Ovis aries: one gene and its partner. The protein of the gene in region 1 binds, or shares a complex with, the protein of each later gene. Links are inferred from orthologs where the notes say so. Each region holds a gene or a part of one and is shown in the gene's direction. Other genes may lie near its edges.

Region 1 (3,803 bases):
CGCCCCGCAGTTCCCAGGGACGTGTGTGGGGAGCGCCTGAGTCACCGCGTCCCAGACCTCCGTTTGATTAGGGATCAGAAGGGCGTTTTGTCAAGAGGGGTGAGCTGGGAGCCGTGTGGAGGAAGTGTGCCCGTGCCCGGTCAGCAGATCCGGGGCCCACCAGTCCCGCAGGGCCGGTGCCCCACAGGGGGGGCTGCCTGCCAGCTCGCCCAGGGAAGAGCACCGGGAGGGGAGACCTCCCAGCCGAGGCCTTGTGCTTTCGGGTGCGTGGAGGCTGGTCTCTGCAGCCCCGGGGGTGTGGTGCTGTGGGAGCAGGGCTCCTGGTTCCGGTCTCCATCCTTCCTCACACCCACACACAACTTGCCAGAACAGCCTCTGTCCTGCTGTTTGCAGTAGAACTGGCTCTGGGCGCTGGGAGTTCTCAGTGGCCCCTTCCCAGGAGTCCCCCAGGGGTGTGGGGGACAAGGAGGGCGGGGAGGCCCCAGGCCCTGACCCCCAGGATCCCCTGCAGGCCCCCTCCTCCTCCCGCCTGGCACCATCCCCCCTCATTGTCTGGAGCCGGAAAGTGGCTGCCGGGCCCTCTGGTGGGGACAGCCCTGCAGGCAGGCCGCCCTGTGGACAGCACTGCTGTGAGGCGCCATCGGCAGGGGCACCCCGGGCAGGGGCGGCCCCCTCCTCAGCCCACGTGTAGGTGCCTCTGGAGCCTTGTGAGTCACTGGGCTGTGGACTCCTCTCCTGTGTCCTGCCACACCAGATGGCTGTCAGCCAACAGTGGGGTCCTTGTAGTCCTCGCGCGCTGCTTCATTGACGGGAAGGCGAGGACTACGAGGGACGTGCACACCCTCTGCTCTGGGGGCCCCTCGCGTGTGTTCTGCTCACGTCAGGCGGTGGCATCTCCCTGAGGGGGTCATGGAGGCTGGTCTCCAGGGCTGGAGGTGACGGGTGGCTGTCTGCCCGCAGGTGGTAGTGCCCACCCGTGTGGGGCAGGGCTACGTGTTCGAGGCCCCCCCTCCCGAGCAGGACGAGTATGACATCCCGCGCCACCTGCTGGCCCCCGGGCCCCAGGACATCTACGACGTGCCCCCCGTGCGTGGGCTGCTGCCTGGCCAGTGCAGCCAGGAGGTGGGTGTCTGGGCTGGTGGCGGGGTCCCATCCTCCCCCTGCCCAGGGTGCTGTGCTGTCCAGGCCCGGCCGGGGAGGCCCTGGGGTGCAGCTTGGGGTCCACCTCCCTGCCCTCAGGTGGCCCTGGCCCCTGCATTACTGCACCTCTCCTGCCCTCAGGTATACGACACACCCCCCATGGCCGTCAAGGGTCCCAATGGCCGGGACCCCTCGCTGGATGTGTACGACGTGCCCCCCAGTGTGGAGAAGGGCCTGCTGCCAGCCAGCCACCACGCGGTGAGCATGGAGGGTTTGCTGCAGCTGCACAGGGTGCTGGGTGTGACTGTGTGCGCCCTGCGGCGGGGGCCTGCAGAGCAGGGGCTCCAGAGACCTGCCTCCAGGACCTCTGTGATGGGGGTGGAAACCAGCCGCCCCTCCGAGCCTCGGCTTCCTCATCAGGGAAGGGGTCCTTCCTCTGCAGGGCGTTCTCCAGGAGGTTCTTGAGAGGGTCACATGGGATGGCAGGGGGACCACAGCATGCACCGTCCAAACGGGGATTCTTCTCAGAGTGCGAGGAGGAGGATGAATAATTAGAAGGGGCCTCGGGCGTGAACCAGGACTGTCCTGGGCAAACCAGGGCATCAGCACCCTGAGTACAGCACGCAGGTGGCTCAGCCACCTACTAATATCTGCCGTAAAGAACCCGCCTGCCAATACAGGAGACGTAAGAGGTGCAGGTTGGATACCTGGGTCAGGAAGATCCCCTGGAGGAGGGCATGGCAACCCACTCGAGTATTCTTGCCTGGAGAATCCCAGGGACAGAGGAGCCTAGAGGGCTACAGTCCATGGGGTCACAAAGAGTCGGATACGACCAAGAGACAAAGAGTAGAGATAGAGTAGAAAATACCCCCGTGGTGGTGGTACTGAAGGTCGGGGTGGTAGTGGTGTGATAGCTGACCTCTCCCTGCGTGTTTGCAGTTATACAGAGAATTAAATCGTGTAGTCCTCACAATAAACCCGTGAGGGCGTTCTCTCCTAGGCCAGCGTACAGGCACAGAGAGGTGCACCCAGCGCCTGAGGTCACACAGCTAGTAAGTGGTGGGGCCGGGATTTTGAGCTCTGGTCTGGCCCCAGAGTCGAGCTCTGAAGCATAACCTGCAGGAAGAATTGCGGCCCTCGAGCGCAGGGCTGTGTGTGCACAGATGCCTGGGTCCACCCGTAGGTCCGGGGTGGGGGGTGGGGGGGGGGGGGGGGCAGGTGGACGGGCAGCCGTGACCGCTTCTCGGCCCCCAGGTGTACGATGTCCCTCCCTCGGTGAGCAAGGACGTGCCCGACGGCCCCCTGCTGCGTGAGGAGACCTACGACGTGCCCCCCGCCTTCGCCAAGGCCAAGCCCTTCGACCCAACCCGCCACCCGCTGGTCCTAGCCGCGCCCCCTCCGGACTCCCCGCCGCCCGAGGAGGTGTACGACGTGCCGCCCCCGGCCCCCGACCTCTACGACGTGCCCCCAGGCTTGCGGCGGCCCGGCCCCGGCGCCCTCTACGACGTGCCCCGGGAGCGGCTCCTGCCCCCTGAGGCGGCCAGCAGCGGCGCGGCAGACGCCGGCGTGTACTCGGTGCCTCCTGCGGCCGAGCGGGAGGCCCCGGCCGATGCCAAGCGCCTGTCGGCCTCGAGCACCGGCAGCACCCGCAGCAGCCAGTCGGCCTCCTCCCTGGAGGCGGCGGTGCCGGGCCGTGAGCCCCTGGAGCTGGAGGTGGCCGTGGAGGCCCTGACCCGCCTGCAGCAGGGCGTGAGTGCCACCGTGGCCCACCTCTTGGACCTGGCAGGCAGCGCAGGCGGGTGCGGGGGCCGGCGTGGGCCCCCCGAGCCTCAGGAGCCTCCAGCTGTGGACCTGCGGGCCGCCGTGGCCGCCGTCCACGCAGCCGTCCACGAGCTGCTGGAGTTCGCCCGCAGCGCGGTGGGCAACGCCACGCACACCTCCGACCGCACGCTGCACGCCAAGCTGAGCCGGCAGCTGCAGAAGATGGAGGATGTGTACCAGACGCTGGTGGCCCACGGCCAGGCCCTCGAGAGCGGCCGGGGAGGCCTGGGCGCCACCCCCGAAGACCTGGACCGCCTGGTGGCCTGCTCGCGGGCGGTGCCCGAGGACGCCAAGCAGCTGGCCTCCTTCCTGCATGGCAACGCCTCGCTGCTCTTCAGACGGACCAAGGCCTCTGTCCCAGGGCCGGAGGGGGGTGGCCCCCTGCACCCCACCCCCGCCGACAAGGCCAGCAGCATCCAGTCCCGGCCCCTGCCCTCGCCCCCCAAGTTCGCCTCCCAGGACTCTCCTGACGGGCAGTACGAGAGCGGCGAGGGGGGCTGGATGGAGGACTATGACTACGTGCACCTGCAGGTGGGTGCGCCCGGCCTGGGGAGGGCCCTGACCCCCAGCAGGCTTTCACGGCCAGGGGCAGGCATGGGGCCCGGCCAGGTCTTGGTGAGCCCCTGGGCGCTTCTCTTTTTCCAGGCCAGCCGGGCCCCTGGAGTCCCACCCTCCCTGTCTCAGGCCCTTGGACCCATGTGGCCGCACCTTCAGGGGTCCTGCAGCGCCCCCCAGGGATGGCTGCCAGTCACCTGCAAGGGCAGGGCTTGTCTGGCGCCTGCGCCTTGTCCTGTTTGGGGAGGTGAATCCTGAAGTGCAAGCAAAAGCAAAGATCCTAGCAG
Region 2 (3,803 bases), on another chromosome or scaffold:
GCCCCTAGTTTCTATGGCTTCCCTTGCTGTTTGCAGCAAGACGTGCCATCTTTTGGGGCTTCCCAGGTGGTGCTAGTGGTAAAGAACCTGCCTGCCAATGCAGGCAGACATAAGAGATGCAGGTTCGATCCCTGGGTCAGGAAGATCCCCTGGAGTGGGAAATGGCAACCCACTCCAGTATTCTTGCCTGGAGAATCCCATGGACAGAGAAACCTGGCGGGCTACATTCCATAGGGTCACAAAGAGTCAGTTATGAATGAAGCGACTTAGCACTCACGTGCTTGCTTCAGCACTTCGATAGGTCCCATTTCCCTGGGCCTGGACTGCGTGCTGTCAGCCAAGGAACTGCTGGTTGGATACCCTGTGGGGAGTAACCACTTGGCCTGTGGTTTGGAACCAGTGATAAAACAGTGCCAGGATCTATAAGCCATGTGTGCCCAAGGCATCCTGAGTAATAGTGTGGGATCAGTGAGGAGAGACCAGGATGGTGGGTTTGGCTCCCTTGGCCTGGCCATCTTTCTTGCTAACCTCTCTCCCCAGGCCATTCTCCAAGTTGGGGGCAAGGTTCCCAGGGAAGAGAACAGTTGTACAGGTTGTAGACTGAACAAGTCCTTCCTCCTCTGGGCTTCAATTTTTGTACCTGCCAGGTGGGAGGTTGGATGTGATCATTTCTAAGCCTTTTCTGCCTCTGAAGTTCAGCAGATCTAGGATGGAGGCAGAGGTGGGGGTCCTAATGCTAGCTGAGGACCCTGACCTCTGGGCTCCTTGCTCATGAAGGTGTCTGCTCCACAGCACATCACTGCCCCACCCTCGGGAATCCATCCGCAACTGTGCACTCAGCATGGACCAGATCCAAGACCTGCACTCGCCCATGTCTCCCATCTCCGAGAGCCCCAGCTCCCCTGCCTATAGTACCGGTATGGCCAGTGGAGGGGGGCACATGGGGGGTCTGGTGGGAGTGGCCTCGTGTGCCCACATGTGCACTGTCTGACGATTTCCATTACAGTGTTTGATCCTGTGTGCTTCTTCCTCTTATCTGAGAGACATGCCCTGCAACAGTGGATACTAAAACGATCCATGTTGACATGCAAAACATAGCCATGGCTGGTTCATTCTGCAACAATTCATTGAGTCCCTGTTGGATACCAGGCACCGTGGATGTGGTTTCCATGCATTCTCTTGAATGTTACTGAGTCTGGTAACAAGTGAGGAGCCACTTGACCAGGCCCTGTATTGCCTGGGATTTAATGTATCCCTGATTCCAAATGGTGGGATTCAACTGGACTGGTCAAGCTTGCTTTATTTATTTATTTTTTCTTTTAAATAGATCTTTTCAGAGAAGTTCTACATTCACAGCAAAATTGAGCAGAAAGCAGAGAGCACTGTACACTTTTTAAAAAATACAATTATTTCTACTGTAGAAACATGCCACTACTGAATGAAACATGTTCATTTCTGGAAGAAAAAAAATAATGTTTTCAACAGGCCATACCACATATTGTCCACATGGCAGGCAAAGCGTGCAGAGGGTCAGCCCAGGGGAACCTTTGCTGGGAAATGCCCTGTTGCCATGTAGCTGTCCATATGGGTTGTCACAAATTCTTCTCTAACCATGGGCCCGCCAGCTTGTCGTAACTGCCAACTTGCCTTCCAAACAACACCGCTGAGTGTAAATGTTAAGACGCTGTGCCACAAATTATTTATTGGACAACTTCTAAGCAATGTGGCACAGGGAAGTACCCAGGAGTGAGGATTCGACACCTGGTTTTGAATCCCAGCTCTACCCTTTGCCGGTTGGGTGACCTTAGGCAGGTCAGCTGGCTTCTCTGAGTCTAACTTTTCTCATCTGTAGAATGAGGATCATAAAAGTACTCATGCACAGGATGTTGAGAGGGTTAAACAGATTAAGGGGCGGAGAAGGATCTCGCAGGCAGTTAGAACTCAATAAACATCACCTCTAATTTTGGATGATGGTTTTACTGTTTTGACCGGTGTAGCTCCAGCATGTCACCAGCTCCCAGAACACATGTCCTCAATAAATCCTTATTATTAATTCATTGAGAAATGATTCCACACAGTGAACTCCAGCAAGTGCTTAGCTTCTCTGAATCACAGAAAGCTCCTTCAAGTAGCTCAGTGGTTCCCCAAGGCTGCAGCAGCCTTAGGGTAAGAAAGTCTGACCCCCCGGGGTCCAGGGAATTTGAGAATATCACTGAGGGCTGGTCAATGTGCCAGCGTCAGCTGGGCCTGGCCTGGGTGCAGGGAGGTAGGATATTAGCCCTGTAGGGTGGGTGGAGCTTGTCCTCTGGGAAAGCGGTGGGGGAACCACACTGGCTAGGGAGTCATGGTAACTAGTTGTCTGTCTTTATTTCCCTGCAGTGACCCGTGTCCACGCCGCCCCTGCCGCCCCCTCCGCCACAGCGCTGCCCGCCTCCCCTGTCACGCGCCGCTCCAGCGAACCCCAGCTGTGTCCCGGAAGTGCCCCAAAGCCCCACGGGGAGTCGGACAAGGGCCCTTACTCCAGCCCCTCCCACACCCTCTGCAAGGCCTCCCCATCACCATCGCTCAGCAGCTACAGTGACCCGGACTCTGGCCATTACTGCCAGCTCCAGCCTCCTGTCCGTGGCAGCCGAGAGTGGGTGGCAGCTGAAGCCTCTGGCCGCCAGGCCAGAAGCTATGGGGAAAAGCTTAAGGAACTGTCAGAAAATGGGGCCCCCGAAGGGGACTGGGGCAGAACCTTCACAGTCCCTGTTGTGGAAGCCACCTCTTCCTTTAACCCGGCTACCTTCCAGTCACTGTTGATCCCCAAGGATAACCGGCCACTGGAGGTGGGCCTCCTGCGTAAGGTCAAGGAGCTGCTGGCAGAGGTCGATGCCCGGACACTGGCCCGGCACGTCACCAAGGTTGACTGCCTGGTAGGTGCTGGGTGCGCACTGGGGCAGGGGTATACCTCTGTCCTTTGGCTTTGGGACAGGGGTCAGGGTGGTGAGGAGCTGACCCCCACATCCCTAAGTAGAGCGACTGGTCCTGGATCCTAACTTCACGGCTGCCCTTTACTCGCTGTGTGCCTCTGACTAAGCACTTTACCTCTCTGGGCTCCCATTTTCCCCTTGGAAAAAAAAAAAAAAAAAGCAAAAGCGGAGATATTCTTGCTTCCTCCAGATGTCAGTTTGGCACTGGAACTGAGGAGTCCTGAAAACTAGTGGTGTCTGGCTCCCTAGGACACTTTTTGAGCTCGGTGAGAGTCAGTTTGGCCGGTCCAGGGACTATAAGAGGCTGGACTCCCCACCCCCACCCACCTAGTGGACAAAACTCATTGTCTAGGTCCATAAATTGTTAATGCCTGAGCCTTTGCTTTGAATGAATCCTGCCCATCTAAGGACCCTAACTTGATCTACGCCTCAGTTTCTCCCTCTGAAGTTTGGTGTGTGTGTGTGTGTGCGTATTGGGGAGGGGAACACTGATTATTTGGTCACACTTGTCTCTGAGCTCAAGAAGAAAGACAAGAAACAGTGCTGAGATGTGGCGCTGTGAAGAGTGCTAGGCATGAAGGAAGAAGCCCTGGGTTCTAGGTCCAGTGTGTGATGTAGGACAAGCCCTTTCCCTCCCTGGACCTTATTTCTTCTGGAATAAGAGTGTCCTGGGCACCTCTGGCACATGTCAGACCCCACTGGGCATTTTCCCATTTATCTTGCGTTTCATAGATGGGGAGAGTGAAACTCATTTGCTCCATGTCAGAGGGTTAGTCATAAACCTGGAATTCAAAGCCGGCTTCCCAGCCAGGCTGCCCTGCTAGATAAAGC

Evidence for each region.
Region 2: the proteins of BCAR1 (region 1) and SH2D3C are in contact, whole or in part, in a crystal structure (PDB 3T6G), measured with the Homo sapiens proteins. The link is inferred for Ovis aries from reciprocal best matches to the Homo sapiens genes BCAR1 and SH2D3C. Residues at the interface, in NP_055382.2 of Homo sapiens: Ser739, Gln742, Phe746, Tyr747, Gln750, Asn754, Val779, Ser782, Lys783, Ile786, Leu787, His790, Val793, Phe794, Ile795, Asp797, Thr798, Arg801, Gln802, Ser816, Asn817, Cys820, Leu823, Arg824, Val827, Lys831; in NP_733745.1 of Homo sapiens: Thr543, Val544, Pro545, Val547, Gly616, Val617, Arg618, Glu622, Thr625, Leu626, Pro627, His628, Leu749, Leu752, Leu753, His771, Gly772, Val773, Glu774, Val776, Leu777, Leu780, Glu781, Ala783, Arg784, Ala787, His788.

What each region holds. Positions count from the first base shown.
Region 1 is NC_056067.1:2,063,282-2,067,084, reverse strand, and holds part of BCAR1 (breast cancer anti-estrogen resistance protein 1), read left to right. Parts: intron 1-960; coding exon 961-1,122; intron 1,123-1,281; coding exon 1,282-1,398; intron 1,399-2,394; coding exon 2,395-3,492; intron 3,493-3,803. UniProt on the Homo sapiens protein: Docking protein which plays a central coordinating role for tyrosine kinase-based signaling related to cell adhesion. Implicated in induction of cell migration and cell branching. Involved in the BCAR3-mediated inhibition of TGFB signaling.
Region 2 is NC_056056.1:8,464,474-8,468,276, forward strand, and holds part of SH2D3C (SH2 domain-containing protein 3C), read left to right. Parts: intron 1-792; coding exon 793-917; intron 918-2,379; coding exon 2,380-2,915; intron 2,916-3,803. UniProt on the Homo sapiens protein: Acts as an adapter protein that mediates cell signaling pathways involved in cellular functions such as cell adhesion and migration, tissue organization, and the regulation of the immune response.